Linked DNA regions of Cricetulus griseus. The main gene of each other region encodes a partner of the protein of the gene in region 2 in a complex. Links are inferred from orthologs where the notes say so. Each region holds a gene or a part of one and is shown on either strand. Other genes may lie near its edges. The genes, in order: Flnc, Fblim1 and Flna.

The links.
Region 1: the proteins of Fblim1 (region 2) and Flnc are in contact, whole or in part, in an NMR structure (PDB 2K9U), measured with the Homo sapiens proteins. The link is inferred for Cricetulus griseus from reciprocal best matches to the Homo sapiens genes FBLIM1 and FLNC. Residues at the interface, in NP_001337080.1 of Homo sapiens: Arg8, Val9, Ala10, Ser11, Ser12, Val13, Phe14, Ile15, Thr16, Leu17, Pro19; in NP_001449.3 of Homo sapiens: Thr2339, Ala2344, Gly2345, Gly2346, Leu2347, Ser2348, Ile2349, Ala2350, Val2351, Glu2352, Gly2353, Pro2354, Ser2355, Lys2356, Ile2359, Phe2361, Asp2380, Glu2382, Phe2387.
Region 3: the proteins of Fblim1 (region 2) and Flna are in contact, whole or in part, in a crystal structure (PDB 4P3W), measured with the Homo sapiens proteins. The link is inferred for Cricetulus griseus from reciprocal best matches to the Homo sapiens genes FBLIM1 and FLNA. Residues at the interface, in NP_001337080.1 of Homo sapiens: Lys7, Arg8, Val9, Ala10, Ser11, Ser12, Val13, Phe14, Ile15, Thr16, Leu17, Ala18, Pro19, Pro20; in NP_001104026.1 of Homo sapiens: Met2207, Gly2208, Thr2263, Arg2264, Gly2267, Ala2268, Gly2269, Gly2270, Leu2271, Ala2272, Ile2273, Ala2274, Val2275, Glu2276, Gly2277, Pro2278, Ser2279, Lys2280, Ala2281, Ile2283, Phe2285, Cys2293, Glu2306, Phe2311.

The regions. Positions count from the first base shown.
Region 1 is NW_023276806.1:198,357,283-198,360,860, forward strand, and holds the end of Flnc (filamin-C), read right to left. Parts: intron 3,566-3,578; coding exon 3,389-3,565; intron 3,159-3,388; coding exon 2,940-3,158; intron 2,360-2,939; coding exon 2,150-2,359; intron 2,034-2,149; coding exon 1,846-2,033; 3' UTR 1,165-1,845; downstream 1-1,164.
Region 2 is NC_048595.1:11,664,135-11,668,920, reverse strand, and holds part of Fblim1 (filamin-binding LIM protein 1), read right to left. Parts: intron 3,721-4,786; coding exon 3,536-3,720; intron 2,692-3,535; coding exon 2,574-2,691; intron 1-2,573. UniProt on the Homo sapiens protein: Serves as an anchoring site for cell-ECM adhesion proteins and filamin-containing actin filaments. Is implicated in cell shape modulation (spreading) and motility.
Region 3 is NC_048604.1:1,462,177-1,467,062, reverse strand, and holds the start of Flna (filamin-A), read right to left. Parts: upstream 3,036-4,886; 5' UTR 2,906-3,035; intron 1-2,905. UniProt on the Homo sapiens protein: Promotes orthogonal branching of actin filaments and links actin filaments to membrane glycoproteins. Anchors various transmembrane proteins to the actin cytoskeleton and serves as a scaffold for a wide range of cytoplasmic signaling proteins.

The DNA.
Region 1 (3,578 bases), on a different chromosome or scaffold from region 2:
ATCCCTGTGGAGTGCCTGGGGATGCTCTGTTGTTATGGGATCCATCTAGTGAAGTGAGCTTTGCCCTGCTTTGCAACGTGTTCACAGAGCATTCTCGCCTGTATTAGAACTCTCAGGGTCAGGAGCTTAGACTGGTTGTGGAGACCATGGGTATCTGGTCACTGGTCAGGTAATAATCTTAGGCAGACATGTGCCCCACGGATGTGTGGAAATTGGTAGTAGTGACTCAGGAGAGGCCAGAAGAGGCCAGAAAGATGAGTGTGGGAAGGCAAAAGTGTTCCAGACAGAGGCCAGAGCTGCAGCATAGGTACCCAGGAAACCACAGAGCAGGGTGAGGTGCAGAGTATAAATGAAGATTGGATATCCTGCCCAACCACGTGTGGGGGGATTGGTCTGAACTCAGGGGTTTGTGGAGAGGACCATCTCCTGGAAAGGCACCAGAGCCACAAGGGCTCTGGCTCTAACCCAGAGGGACATGAGGCCTTTAATGGGATCCATTCTAGCAGCATGGAACATGGAGGGCAGGTCAAGGACCAAGGGATTAGTTCAGAAGCTGCTATGGAGTCCAAGAGGAGACCTGAGCTAGGTCAAGACTTGAGGGGAGGGTATAGTTGTTCCAGGTCTGACCTAGTGTCTGGAGCAAGGCTCGGGATTCTCATTTGGTTTCTGCTGGATAAAGAGCATCACTGCTTGAGGCAGTGGTCACAGTTCTTTGTTTTGTTTGAGACAGGGTCTCTCTATGTAGCTCTGGCTGTCTTGAAACTATGTATCTGGCCTGAAACACAGAAAGAGCCATCTTTGCCTTTATGCTGGGATTAAAGGTGTGGGCCACCACTCCTGGCCTTGTGATCACAGTTCTAAGAACCTAATGTGACGAACATCCTTCAAGGTGGGCTTAATGTTAAGTGGCCTTCCAGTCACCTTTAATAGCGTTCCCTCTCATCTGCCATCTACTAGCCTTCCAGCTAGTGGGAGTCTAATTCTCCATCAGGTCCTCTTTCAGCCAACATTTCAGACCATAGTTCCTATCTTTCCCAGGCTCTTGCTCTCAGCCCTCAGGGTCAGGTCTCTGGGTAACAGCCAAATCACCTCTGTGTGGTCCTCTACTCTGGGTCAGGAGGCAACAGTGGACAAGCGCACACACTCATAAAGAACAGCCAAGCCTCTGCAACAGCTACACTTTATTTGGTGTTTTCCACATGTGCAAAAGTCTCCCAGAAAGCTGGGCCCCACAATGTGTAAAAAAAGACCCTCAATAGGGCAGAGCTGTGCAACCATAAAAAAAAAATATATAGTAAGAGAAATCAGTCCCCCAGGAAGCCTGGCTTGGGCAGAGCACGTCACTCGGGGCCAGTCCACATGCCAGGCGCTGCTTGTTCTGGCTGTATTTCCTTCTGATTATTCTCCAAATCCCTTGCTCTAGGGTTATGGCTACCAGAGCTGCCAATAGAGTCCTCAGGCTCGACAGTTTGTGAGGGTGACTTCTCCCACACACAGATAACCAGCTCAGTGCTTGCCCAATGGCTTCAGCCCCACTATGATCCTCGGGGCTTCCACAGACCCCCCCCCAACCCCTGTCTAACCCCCTATATCACAGTCTCTGCCCCTGAGTCTGACTCCAGTCTGCCCTCAGGTCACATCTGAGGGACACTGATCCCAGACAGATAAAAGGCCCTCCACCCCTCAAGTGCACGGTGGGGTGGGAGGTTGTGCCACTCACTTCACACCTAAGGCAGGTGTTTTCGTGTCTGATTCTGTGAGTGTGCATAGGGATATGGCACATTTGTGTGGGTGTGAGTTTGGCAGGAAGTGGGGGCCCTGGGCTGGGGGAGGCACTTCTGGGATTCAGGGCACATTGACCTTGAAGGGGCTTCCGGGGACACTTTCGTCACCCCATTTGACAATGAGGATGTAGTCTCCTTTTTCCTTGACAGTGTAGGTGACGTTGTATACCCGGTTTCCCATGTGCTTCACATAGACCTCTTCACAGGGTGTCTTGGGCCCGTGCACACCCACCATCATCATGTTGGTGCCTTGAGAGGGAGGCAGAGAGGAGTGGCTCACACCAGGGCCACAAGAAGCCCACACCCCTACTCCCTGGACAGCGTCCTGCTCCCTCCCCTTCTCCCCCTGATAAGCTGGGACATACCTGCTTTGCTGCAGTCCACAGTGAATGAGTTCTTCTGACCTACAAAGGCCTGGGACAGACCAGGCCCCCTTGTCACCACCTTGCTGGCATCTGAGGAGAACTTGGGGATGGAACTGTAGCTGGCGCCACGGCTTGAGGAGGACTTGGTCACGGTCTCCACCAGAACTGTAGATGTTTCATGAAGGCTGTGGCCTCCAGACAACCGGGGACCTGAAGAGCAGAGCAGGTGGCCAAGGGCCCAGTCAGAAGGACTTCCTGTCCTTTTCTAGGACATTGAAAATCTTCTGGGATGGGCCTTGGGTGACATGGAACGCACCAGGCCCCCTCCTGTCCTCAGCTGCAGCTTTTGAAGAATGGAACCTATTCCAAACAAGCAGCTCCCAATGCACCAATCCCCGCTTATCCCTGGGCCTGAGCCACTTCTGGCTCCATCCCTCACCCTCCCAGACCTCCTCTGGGGAGTCAGCAAGAGTGTGGCTTTAAAACAGAACAAACTAGAGCTCTAGCTCAGTAGTAGAGCACTTGCCTAGTATGGGTGGGGCTCTGGTTTCAAACCCCAGCATTGAAAAAGAGAGAGTTGTATTTTTAAAGACATGATGCACAACTCTAAAGAATGGGATGCTGCCTTGTCAGGCCCGCCTCCTCCATCAGGGTTACTTGTCAGGCCCACCTCCATCATGGTTACTTGACCACAACTGAGGGCAGACCACAATCAAATGTGAAAGGCCATGAGAGCCAGCAGGGCTGGGTTGGGCTGTATGAACCTTCTCCACCCAGGATGCTCACTCACCTGTGACCTTTGCTTTGAAGGGGCTGCCCACAATGTGCTGAGGGCCACCATACTTGACGGCAATGAGGTAGTTACCGGGGGCCATGGGAGTGTAAGTGACTACATGGCCCTCAGGACACTCCCGGCAGTCCAGCTGCACTTTAGAAGGACCATCAATGGTGACAGACAAGGCCCCGGAGCCTGCATTCTGGGTGTTCACAATGAACTCGGATGACACACCTGGAGGACAGAGGAGCAAGGCTGAAGGCAAGAAAGAACGCAGCCCCGAGTGGGGCCCTGGGTTCCTTGGGCAGCACTGCAAGTCAGAACCAACAAGCGCGAACCTACCAAGAGTGTCTGACCACGCCCCCAAACTACCAAGAGTGTCTGACCACGCCCCCAAACTACCAAGAGTGTCTGACCACTCCCCCAAATCTAACCCCACTCCCCCTGTAGCTCTACACACTCACCAGTAGTGCCTCCCTCGAGCCCAGGCCCATAGGCTGACACCAAGCCTGGGTCCCCAGCTTGGCTCTGCTCTCCAACTCGAATTTTGAAGGGGCTTCCAGGAATGTGGGCACCGTTGAACTTGACATCGATTGAGTGGACACCATTCTCATGGGGGATGAAGCGGATGGTATGCTTATCTGTGAGGCAGAA
Region 2 (4,786 bases):
CAGGCTGGTCTCAAACTCAGAGGTCTTACTTCTGTCTTTTGAGTGCTAGGATTAAAGGCATGCACTATCATGCCTGGCTAAAATAAATCTTAAGAAAAAAAAAAAAAAGATCCAGAAAGTCTGATGTTTGGTGTGGTGGTTTACACCTGTAATTCCAGAGTCCTGAAGACTAACGAAGGTAGACAGAGATCCAGGCTAGCCTGAGCTATATAGTAAGACTGTACCTTAAAAAAACAAAACAAACAAAAACCCCCTTTTTTGTGTATGTGTGTGACAAAATCTACCGTAAGTCGAAAAATAAATGACACACTTAGGAAAACAGTTGCCCTTGTGTCTTGCTCTGTGACCCAGGAAAAAGGATACTGCATTAGACTCAACGGTGTCTTCAGTGCCTGGGGCAGGACCTAAGGAAGCAGGTCACAGCTCAATTACACAAGGCACAGAGTGCTGTAGAGGCTTCTAGAAACAACTCAGCCCTGCTGGTGGGAGCACGTAGGCTGGGATGAGTAAGGAAGGTGATTTGACAAAAATACAAAATCAAAAACAGCAGCCTTTTTTTTTTTTAGGGTACTTCCTCTTCTAGGAATTTACCCGAGAAAACCCCACAGCTAGGTGAATCAGCTCCATGCAGTTACGGCAAGAAACCACCTACAAATCCATCAGGAGGAGGCTGTGTAACCCACCACACCTATGTTCCTACTGGGGACTGCCACACAGCCTTAAAAAAAGGTCAAAGAGCTGCTGCACCTGGAGATAGGAAACCCACTCAGAGACTCACTGGGGAAGCCAACAATGAGAACGGCCCTGTGGCTGCTACAGACAGGATCCCTGGTCCCAAAGCTCAAAGGACAAAATTAGAAACTGGTGTGTGTGGCCAGGCAGCTGGTGGTGCATGCCTTTAGTCCCAGCACTCGGGAGGCAGAGGCAGGTGGATCTCTGTGAGTTTGAGACCAGCCTGGCCTAAAAGAGCTAGTTCCTAATTCCAGGACAGCCTCCAAAGCCACAGGGAAACCCTGTCTCAAAAAAAAAAAAAAAAAAAAAAAAAAAGAAAGAAAAGAAAAGAAAAGACACTGGTCACTGGTGTGTGTGTTTGGGGGGTGGGGAAAGCATGGAAAAGCATGGTATCACTGTGTACCCCTAGCTGGCATGGAATTTATGGAACTTGCAGTATAGACCAGGCTGGCCTCAAACTCAGATATCCTCCTGTCTTTGCATCATAAATGCTGGGATTAAAGGTGTGTATCACCATGCCTGGTTGGCTGTTTTTCAGACAAAGTCTCCTGTAGCTCAGGGTAGCCCCCAATTTACTATGTAGCTGAGGATGACTTTAAACTTCTTGATTATATATATATATATATATATATATATATATATATATATATTTTTTTTTTTTTTTTTTCTGAGACAGGGTTTCTCTGCAGCTTTGGAAGCTGTCCTGGAACTTACTCTGGAGACCATGCTGGCCTCGAACTCACAGAGATCCACCTGCCTCTGCCTCCCGAGTACTGGGATTAAAGGCATGTGCCACCAACGCCTGGATTTAAAAATACTTTTTTTTATTATTTTATATGTATTAGGTATTTGCCTGCATGTATATTGGTACATGACATGCATGTCTGGTGCCAGAAGAGGGCACAGGATCCCCTGGAACTGGAGTTAAAGTCATGAGCTGCCATGTGGGTGCTGGGAACCGAACCCTGGTCATTTAGAAGAGCAGTCAGTGCTCTTAACCACAGAGCCCTCTCTCCAGCCCCGACAGTAAACTTCTAACCCTCCTACGTCACACATACAGACATGAATAAACAAATGGAAAAATAACTACAAAACCTTCATTGTTTATTGATTGATTGATTGATTGATTGTATGTCCACCTTGCGTGGAGATCAGGGAACAACCTCTGAGAGTCTGTTTTACCACGTGGGCCCCAGGGACAGAAACAAAGTCATCTCTCTTGGTGACAAGTTGTCTTGCTACCCATCCCCCACAACAACAACAAAAAAGAATTAAAAAAAGAAAGGTGGGCATAGTAGCTCACCAGCATTGAGGCTGAGGCAGGAGGATTGCAACAACTTTGAAGCCTGCCTGACTTCATACATAGTAAGTTCCAAGCCAGCTAGTGCCAGCTATCCTGTAATCTTGACACTGAGGAGGCTAAGGCAAGAGGCTCTCAGGCCCAAGGCCAGATTGTCTCAATACAAACACACAAAGGTAAGGCTGTAGCTGGGCGGTAGGAGAATGTGCTTTTCAAGGAGGAAGCATTGGCTTCTGTCTGCAGTGCCATATAAACCAGGCACAGTGGCAAACTACAGCCCCAGTACTCACAAGGTGACACAGGTAGAGCACTAGAAGGTCATCCTTGGCTATATATGGGATTCAAGGCTAGCCTGGACTACATGAGACCCTATCTCAATAACAACAAACCTGAAGCAAGCACAAGGCAGCAATGGACATTCAGTGGTTGCACACTGTATAGACATCCCTGTCATGTGAGAAGGGGGAGCCCTACACCCACACTTCCTATGAGAAGCCCATTCTGGCCCCAGGAGGATCAGAAATCAGGCCTGTGGCTGTACCTGTGGATGCCTCTTTCTCTGGAAAGGTGACAGGCTCTTCTGGAGGAGGGGGTAGCTCCTCTTCTGTGGGTTTGAGGTGACTGGTCAGAGGCCGGACAGAAGATCCCTTCGGTGGAGCCTGGGGAGGGGCATAGATCAAGGAGAAAGGAGAGAGATCAGCTTGTGGGGACCCCACCAGACTCTCCCATCTTGGCTCTTTGTCTAGGTGGCTCCGAGTACAATTAGTCCCATTGTACAGATGCGGAAACTGAGTCTGGAGAAGCAAGTGTCCTGCCTCTATAGCTTAGCAGGATGGTTACCATGGCAGCAAGAGCCAAGGACCTCCCTGCTCCCTACCTGGGGCTCCCTCCATCAAAGTGACTCTCTCATGCTTGCTAGGTAAACACTCTACCACTGAGCTAACTATATCCCAACCTTTTTTCTACCTACTAGTTTGAAACAGGGTCTCACTAAGTTGCCCAGGCTTGCTTTCCATTCACTTTGTAGCCTAGGCTAGGCCTTGTGGTCAACCTGCCTTGGCCTTGTCTGTATCTGGGATTATGGTCCTGCAACTATCAGGCCCAGTTTGACTCCTGTTTCTGAGAATGTCCTGGGGATGACATGTCCCGCCCACTGACACTGTGCTGGAGGTGACATAGACCGTGACCCAGGACACCACTCAGGTTAACAACCCTCTCTATGAAGGCCAGACGATTAATTGTCTTCTTATGCAGTGTGGAGATTTGGGTCGGAACCAGTACATGTCTTGGAGCAGAGTGGGTAACTAAGAAACAAAGGGGACGAGGGACATGTCTCTCCAGGGACCTTGAAAATCCTCAACAGTTCTACCAGCTTTGGGGCTTGGAAGAGGCTTAAAGACTAATAACCTTCAAGCATAAGGGACCAAACCATGCCCCCTTTGGTAATACTGGAAAGGCCCAGGTCCCCCACCCATCCAGGGGGTTTGGGGACACTGTCAGTACCTGTGGCAGAGGTGGAGGTGGGGGTAGGGGCAGGTGTAGTTGCTCCAAGTCAGAAATGAGTGATGACCCCGTCAGGGCGGGAGGCTCCTCTTCTGGGAGAGCCAGGTAGGCCGAAGGGGGCGGTGGAGGAGGTGGTAGGAGGTCTAGATCCTCATCACTCAGGGAAGGAGGTGGGGGACAGCACCCTACAGAGGGGGAAGAGATGGCTCGCTCAGATGCCCCACAGGTCACAGGTCTATTCACCCAGCAGGCCAAGCAGCAGTGTGTAAAGGCTCGGGTCTGGCTCCAGACCTCAGTCCACTCTGGACAGCTGCCACTGGCTTGCTGTGGGTTGTTAGGCAGGAGTGACAACTCTTTGAGTCTTAAATTGTTCCTTCGGAAAGTGAGCAATGCCAGGTGGTGGTGCACGCCTTTAATCCCAGCACTGGGAGGTAGAGGCAGGCGGATCCATGAGCTCGAGGCCAGCCTGGTCTACAGAGTGAGTTCCAGGACAGCCAGGGCTATGCAGACTAACACTGTTTGCATTGGGGTGGGGGTGGGGGATAAAGGAAAAAAGAAGAAAGCTCGGCATGGAGGTACTACACTTAGAAGCTGAGGCCAAAGTCCACTTGAGCTACATGGCCCTTGCCTAAAACCCCAGCATTTGGGTGCAGGAGACAGAAGTATCCGGAAAGGAAGAACTGATTAAACCTTGATGACCAGTTGAAACTAGATCTGGAGAGGCAGGGCTCTTCCTACTCGCACAAAGGTTCCTTTCTCTGTGTGTGTGTGTGTGTGTGTGTGTGTGTGTGTGTGTGTGTGTGTGTGTGTGTGTGTGTGTGTGTGTGTGTGTGTGTGTGTGTGTGCATAAGCTAAGCAAGCACTATATACTAACCCAGCTCCATCTCCATGAGACGGCACACATAGAGCCTGGAGTCATTACATGGGACCATCCCACTACTAACACAGATTGCCTGGGTTCCCCTCAGTGAGCTGAGTGTGGGAGGCTGGAGGGGGAAAGTTAGGGCCTTGGATACTAAAGACTGATTGCTGGGCATGGGCTTGTGTGGGGGATAAGAGGAGGGCCAGGCTTGGCCACCACTGCCATAGCCCTCTCCACGAACCACCATCACCACCGTGAGACTGCAGCCGGTAGGGTGCCAGCTCCCTTCATGAAGGTGACAAGGTAAGGGTGGACCCAGGGTAAGAGGGGTCTCAGGAAGGAACTGTGAGGTACAGGACAAGCACTGTCAATGGTGGCCCAGTGAGGTT
Region 3 (4,886 bases), on a different chromosome or scaffold from region 2:
AGAGGCAAGTTTTCCTTGGGGCGGAGCCTCCGGGTGGGGCTTCTGGGACATGCCCGCCCCACCTCGCCCCGCCCGTTGGAATGCCCCACAAAGCACCCCTCCCCTGCTCCACCCAAGGCGACCAAGTTCTGCTTCAGGGAGGGTCATTGAGCCCCAAAGAGCACGAGGAGGTCCGGCAACATCTGCTAACAGTACAAGAAACGGACGCTAGAGCTGGGAAAGGCTGAGCAATTCTGGCACACACCAATTCTGGCACAGGATTGCTCAATTCCAGCTGGCACGCCCTTACAAGGGACTCTCTTTCCTCAAGGTCCCTGCAGGGGATGGAGCGAATAAGGTCCCTGAATCACTTGAACTCTGCCCCAATCCTGCACCCTCCTCCTCTATCTTCATTTCCCTCATCTTCCAGAGCTGAGGGTCCTCAGGGGCAGTCTGTTCCACAGCAATGCAAAGAGTCCAATCCTGAGAGCGAATCCTTTCAGACAGCCTGGTACTGCTGGGAACTCTTTGTGCACACTAGTGCCAAGAAACAGCTGCGACTCAGGGCTCTCATCACCTAAGTAGCCACCCGCAGACCCCTGGCCCGCCCCACCCATCTTCGCTGGTCTTCTCAGTCTCTGTGGCCCTGCCTGCCCCCTAGCTCCATCTGGGAGGAAATGGGGCAAGCAACTGGGCCAGGGAGGCTGCCAGCACTCCAGGACCAAGAAGCCTTCCAAAGGCCCCGAGACATGCCAGTGGTCATAATCAGAAGACACCCGCCTTGTGATGCGTGTAGACGGGTACACTTTGTGCCTGTCTAACTCACATTTCCATCCACCTGGGGCCCTGAAGAGTTCTGCAGTAGAGTTCTCGTCTGGCACAGTATCCCCAAGGTTTGGTGTGACCCTAGAGGTGTGGAGAGGCTCAGGGATAGGGTCCCAGATTACTGAAAAACAATCAGCAGGCACCAAGGCTTGCTGAGGAGCCTAGGTTGTGTTCCCTGAGTGGGTATGAAGCTATTCACTTAAAGTTCATTTTATGATAGATAATTCTGGGGATAATGATGAGGATGCTGTACTGAGGCAGAGGTGAGCAAAGGCACAGAGGCAAGAAACTGTAGGAGACACTCACTACCACCCTCCAGTTAAGGGAATTCGCTTACCTTTCCCATGATAGACTCCTTCCATCTACATTCTCTGTACTTCAAGCCTCTCCAGAATGTTCCCTTCTGTGTTTTTCCAGAAAGGCAGGCCTTTATCACTACTTCTCAAATTGTAGCAATGATTTATCTTCTGAAAGACTGGTGGTTGAAGGAGGCCTTGGGCTGGCCAACATGGCATGCCCAAATATGGTTGGCTCTCCTATTGCTTGGGGTGTCTGCATTGCCTGTGGTGGGGCTATGGTAAGGTTATATTCACAATGGGCACCACCTCTGCCTCAGCATGTTCATCTTGGTACTCTCTATAATCTCACCCGTCAAATAACATTTTCAGTATGGAACTCCCCTATCCTACCTCCAGTCACCTGCATATCCTCTCTTTTGTTTTCATATATACCTGCATCAAGTAAGCCAAGGGGAGAGTTGAGGGACAGGATGGCAGAACTGAGAGGGGGTAACCCAAATGGAAAATTTAAGGGCTGTCATTCAAGACATAATTAGAGTTATCTTTCTGATTACCCTGACCTACTGGAGAGTAAATCCCCATGTATGGAATTGAATCAATAATGGATTTTCCACTGTGTGCCATTTGTCTGGATCACCTGAGTTCACTAATTGGCAGGAAACAAGGAAGACGGAATCATAGTAATGGATCACACAGAAGTTGGGAGTCCCAGCTTCCAGCCCTATGATTTGGCTATTTCGGGGGTAGGGGTGGGGGAGGGGGGAGAGTTCTTGGCCTTAGAGTGGACACAGTGCCACCACCAGATGTCGCTCCATCTCAAAGATCCAGGGGCAGCTCCAGGAAGCCAAAATCCAGCTCTTTCATATTTTCCCTTATTTGGAGTAGATTCTTCGATGTTAGGCACACCCCGCCCACCTCTCCCACCCCCACCATCAGACCCTAGGCCAGGCCCTCCCATAGGGAACTATAGACCCAAGCCCACCAGCTATACTAGGACCCTGAAGAGCTTTTCTAGACTTGTGTAGCCAGGGGGCGCCAGGAGGGAAGGAAGCAGAAAATCCCTGAAGTAAAACCAGTGCCTGTAAGGCAAATTCAGGTGTGACAAGATAGAGAATTGATTTCCTGAACTTTCCACCTTGGCCAGACTCCTTGGAGCTGCAAGAGACTGTGTGTGGGTTTCACCCACTTTTTCTTTCCTGGGATCTGGGAACCTTGGTGCTTATGTTCTGGCTGGCAATGACCGTCATACTCAGAACCAACCTGAGACAGGACCCAAGATCCAGGCTGGAAATCTGTCTCGCTATACCCCTACCACAGCCCCGAAATCAGCTCCCTATGTCCAAACTAGCAGGGGACTCATCATCTCATATGTATTCATATGAGGGTGGACTCATATCCACCCTTGCCATTGGCTGAAAAGTGTCCTTCTAAGTTGCCACTCACCCTTATCCCAATCAAGATACTAGTCTCAAAAGACCTCCCTCCCACCCCCAGAGAGTCACACAAAGACCAATTAATGGGTACCCACGCCTGTACCCATCTCCTGCCAAACACTCAGATACCAGCCCCTCTTTCAGGGACCCCCCCCCCATGACCTCGAGCTCACAGATTCCTGAGCACAAACATAAGTTTGTGGTAAACTATGCAAGTCTGGACACTAACACGATGCCTCGGACCTGAGTCCACACCCAAACTGCCTGGCCTCGGCCTCTCTGCTTGCTTTCCAAACCTTTCCCAGCTCCCGAGCGTCGCACCCACTATCTGACTACTATCCGGTGTGGAGCTAATTACAGAGCCCTCACCTGCTGTCCCTCCAACCGCGGGGTGGCGCCCAGCTCTCTGCGCTCGAGCCAGAGGCCTCAGAACTCCCCTGGCGTCCGCTGCGCGCCGCGCGCCTCCACGCGAATGAGCCGCTGCTGCCCGCCTTCTTGTTGGCTGCATCCCCGCCCCACGTCCGCCCCGCGCGGGGCCCGGCAGAGCCCGTCCCGGCAAGAAAGCCTTAATTGGTAAAATCGCCCTGGAGCCGGGGGCGGGGAGGGGATGCGGGGGCGCGCCACGAGCTCAAGTGCCCTGGCTGACAGGCGACGCCATCCCTCAGAATGAGCTCACTGCTCCGTGAGGGCCGCCAGGCTTCCGGGGGGGGGGGGGGTCTGCAAAACCTGTGTTTAGGCCCAACCTTTAATAGGCTAGATGAGTACAAGGGAGCCAAATGCTTACTGGCTGGAAAGAAGGCCCCGCTCCAAAGCCACCTATACAGGGGAATTGCCCACAGTCACAGCCTTCTGCCTCTGCCCAAGCCTGGTTTGGCCACACCGGTCAGGTCTTGTTCCATGGGAAGAGATGAAACAGGTAATTGCAGTGAGCACCAACCGTTCGTTCCTAAGGCCCCAATGGGTCCCTGAGCACTGTAATGAACAAGCCCTTGTAGCTAGCTATCATTGATTTGGTTCCTGCTAGGTGCAGCTGTTGGCTGTGAGCAAACAACAAAAATACATTGAATTCTCAAAGCAATCAGGTGAAGTCTTAAAGCCTGGGGGTGTGCAGTGTGGTACAAAGTGCCAAATATCTGTGAAGTTGGTAGGCACAGCCATTACCTAATATTGTCAAGCTCTCTCTTCCTGTTCTATGTGCCCATTTCCTGGTAGTTTCAGATTCAACTCAAATGTCATTTCCTACAGAAAGGACACATAAAGCAATGCCATTTTTAACATTTTGTTATTCATTTTACCTGCAACCCCAATATGAGCTACATTTGCATTATGCCAGTGTGCACATAACATGAAATTGAAATAGATAATTGCAAATTAGATTTTCCTTTTCTGATGTGTGTGTGTGTGTGTGTGTGTGTGTGTGTGTGTGTGTGTGTGTAGACTAGGACTCACTCTGCAGCTCAGGCTGATCTGGAAATCACTATGTAGCACCCAGACTGGGCTTTGAAGTGGCAATCCCCCTCCCAATTTCTGTTTCATAAATGTTGGAATAACAGGCCTATTTAATTTGTTTTCCTACTCAATATTATCAAAAAGAGAAGGTGGCACATGCTATATAGTAAGATAAAAGGGAGAAAAGAAAGAATATGAAAGAGCAGTGAGGGGGAGTTTGATCACATCTCCAGAGTCAATTTAGTAATCTATAGTGTAACTTGAAGAGCAAAGTGCTGGGGTCCCCTCCAGGCACTATGCATCCAGTGCTACCTTTGTTGGCTCCACTGGCAATGACATTTCACATTCTGGCCTCCCAATAAGATCAAGATCCCTCACTGTTCTGTCTAGCAGGAGACCTCTGCTAGGGAAGCCAATGAATTATCATAAATTGCTAAATTAGTGGCTTGATTTCAAGTTTGTGAGGTGGCACTAGAGTACATGGAGATGATTGTCTTTCCGGAGGATAAACCCATTTACCCACAGGCATGGTAATCAGATCAACCGGTAGGCAGATGGAAGGGGCATGGGGGAGGTAGTGACTGTGAGCTGCATTTCAAAGACATCCCCCACACACATACAAACTGAATTTGAACTTTCTTTACTGCCCCTCCCAATGCATACACATCCAAGAAACCCAAGAAGGGTCTCCAATTTCTTTTTCTTTTCTTGTTTTTTCTTTTTTGGTTTTTGGAGACATGGTTTCTCTGTGGCTTTGCAGGCTGTCCTTGAACTAGCTCTTGTAGACCAGGCTGCTCTTGAACTCACAGAGATCCACCTGCCTCTGCCTCCCGAGTGCTGGGACCAATGGTGTGTGCCACCAACACCCGGCATTCCAGTTTCTTTCAGGTCTATCAACTAT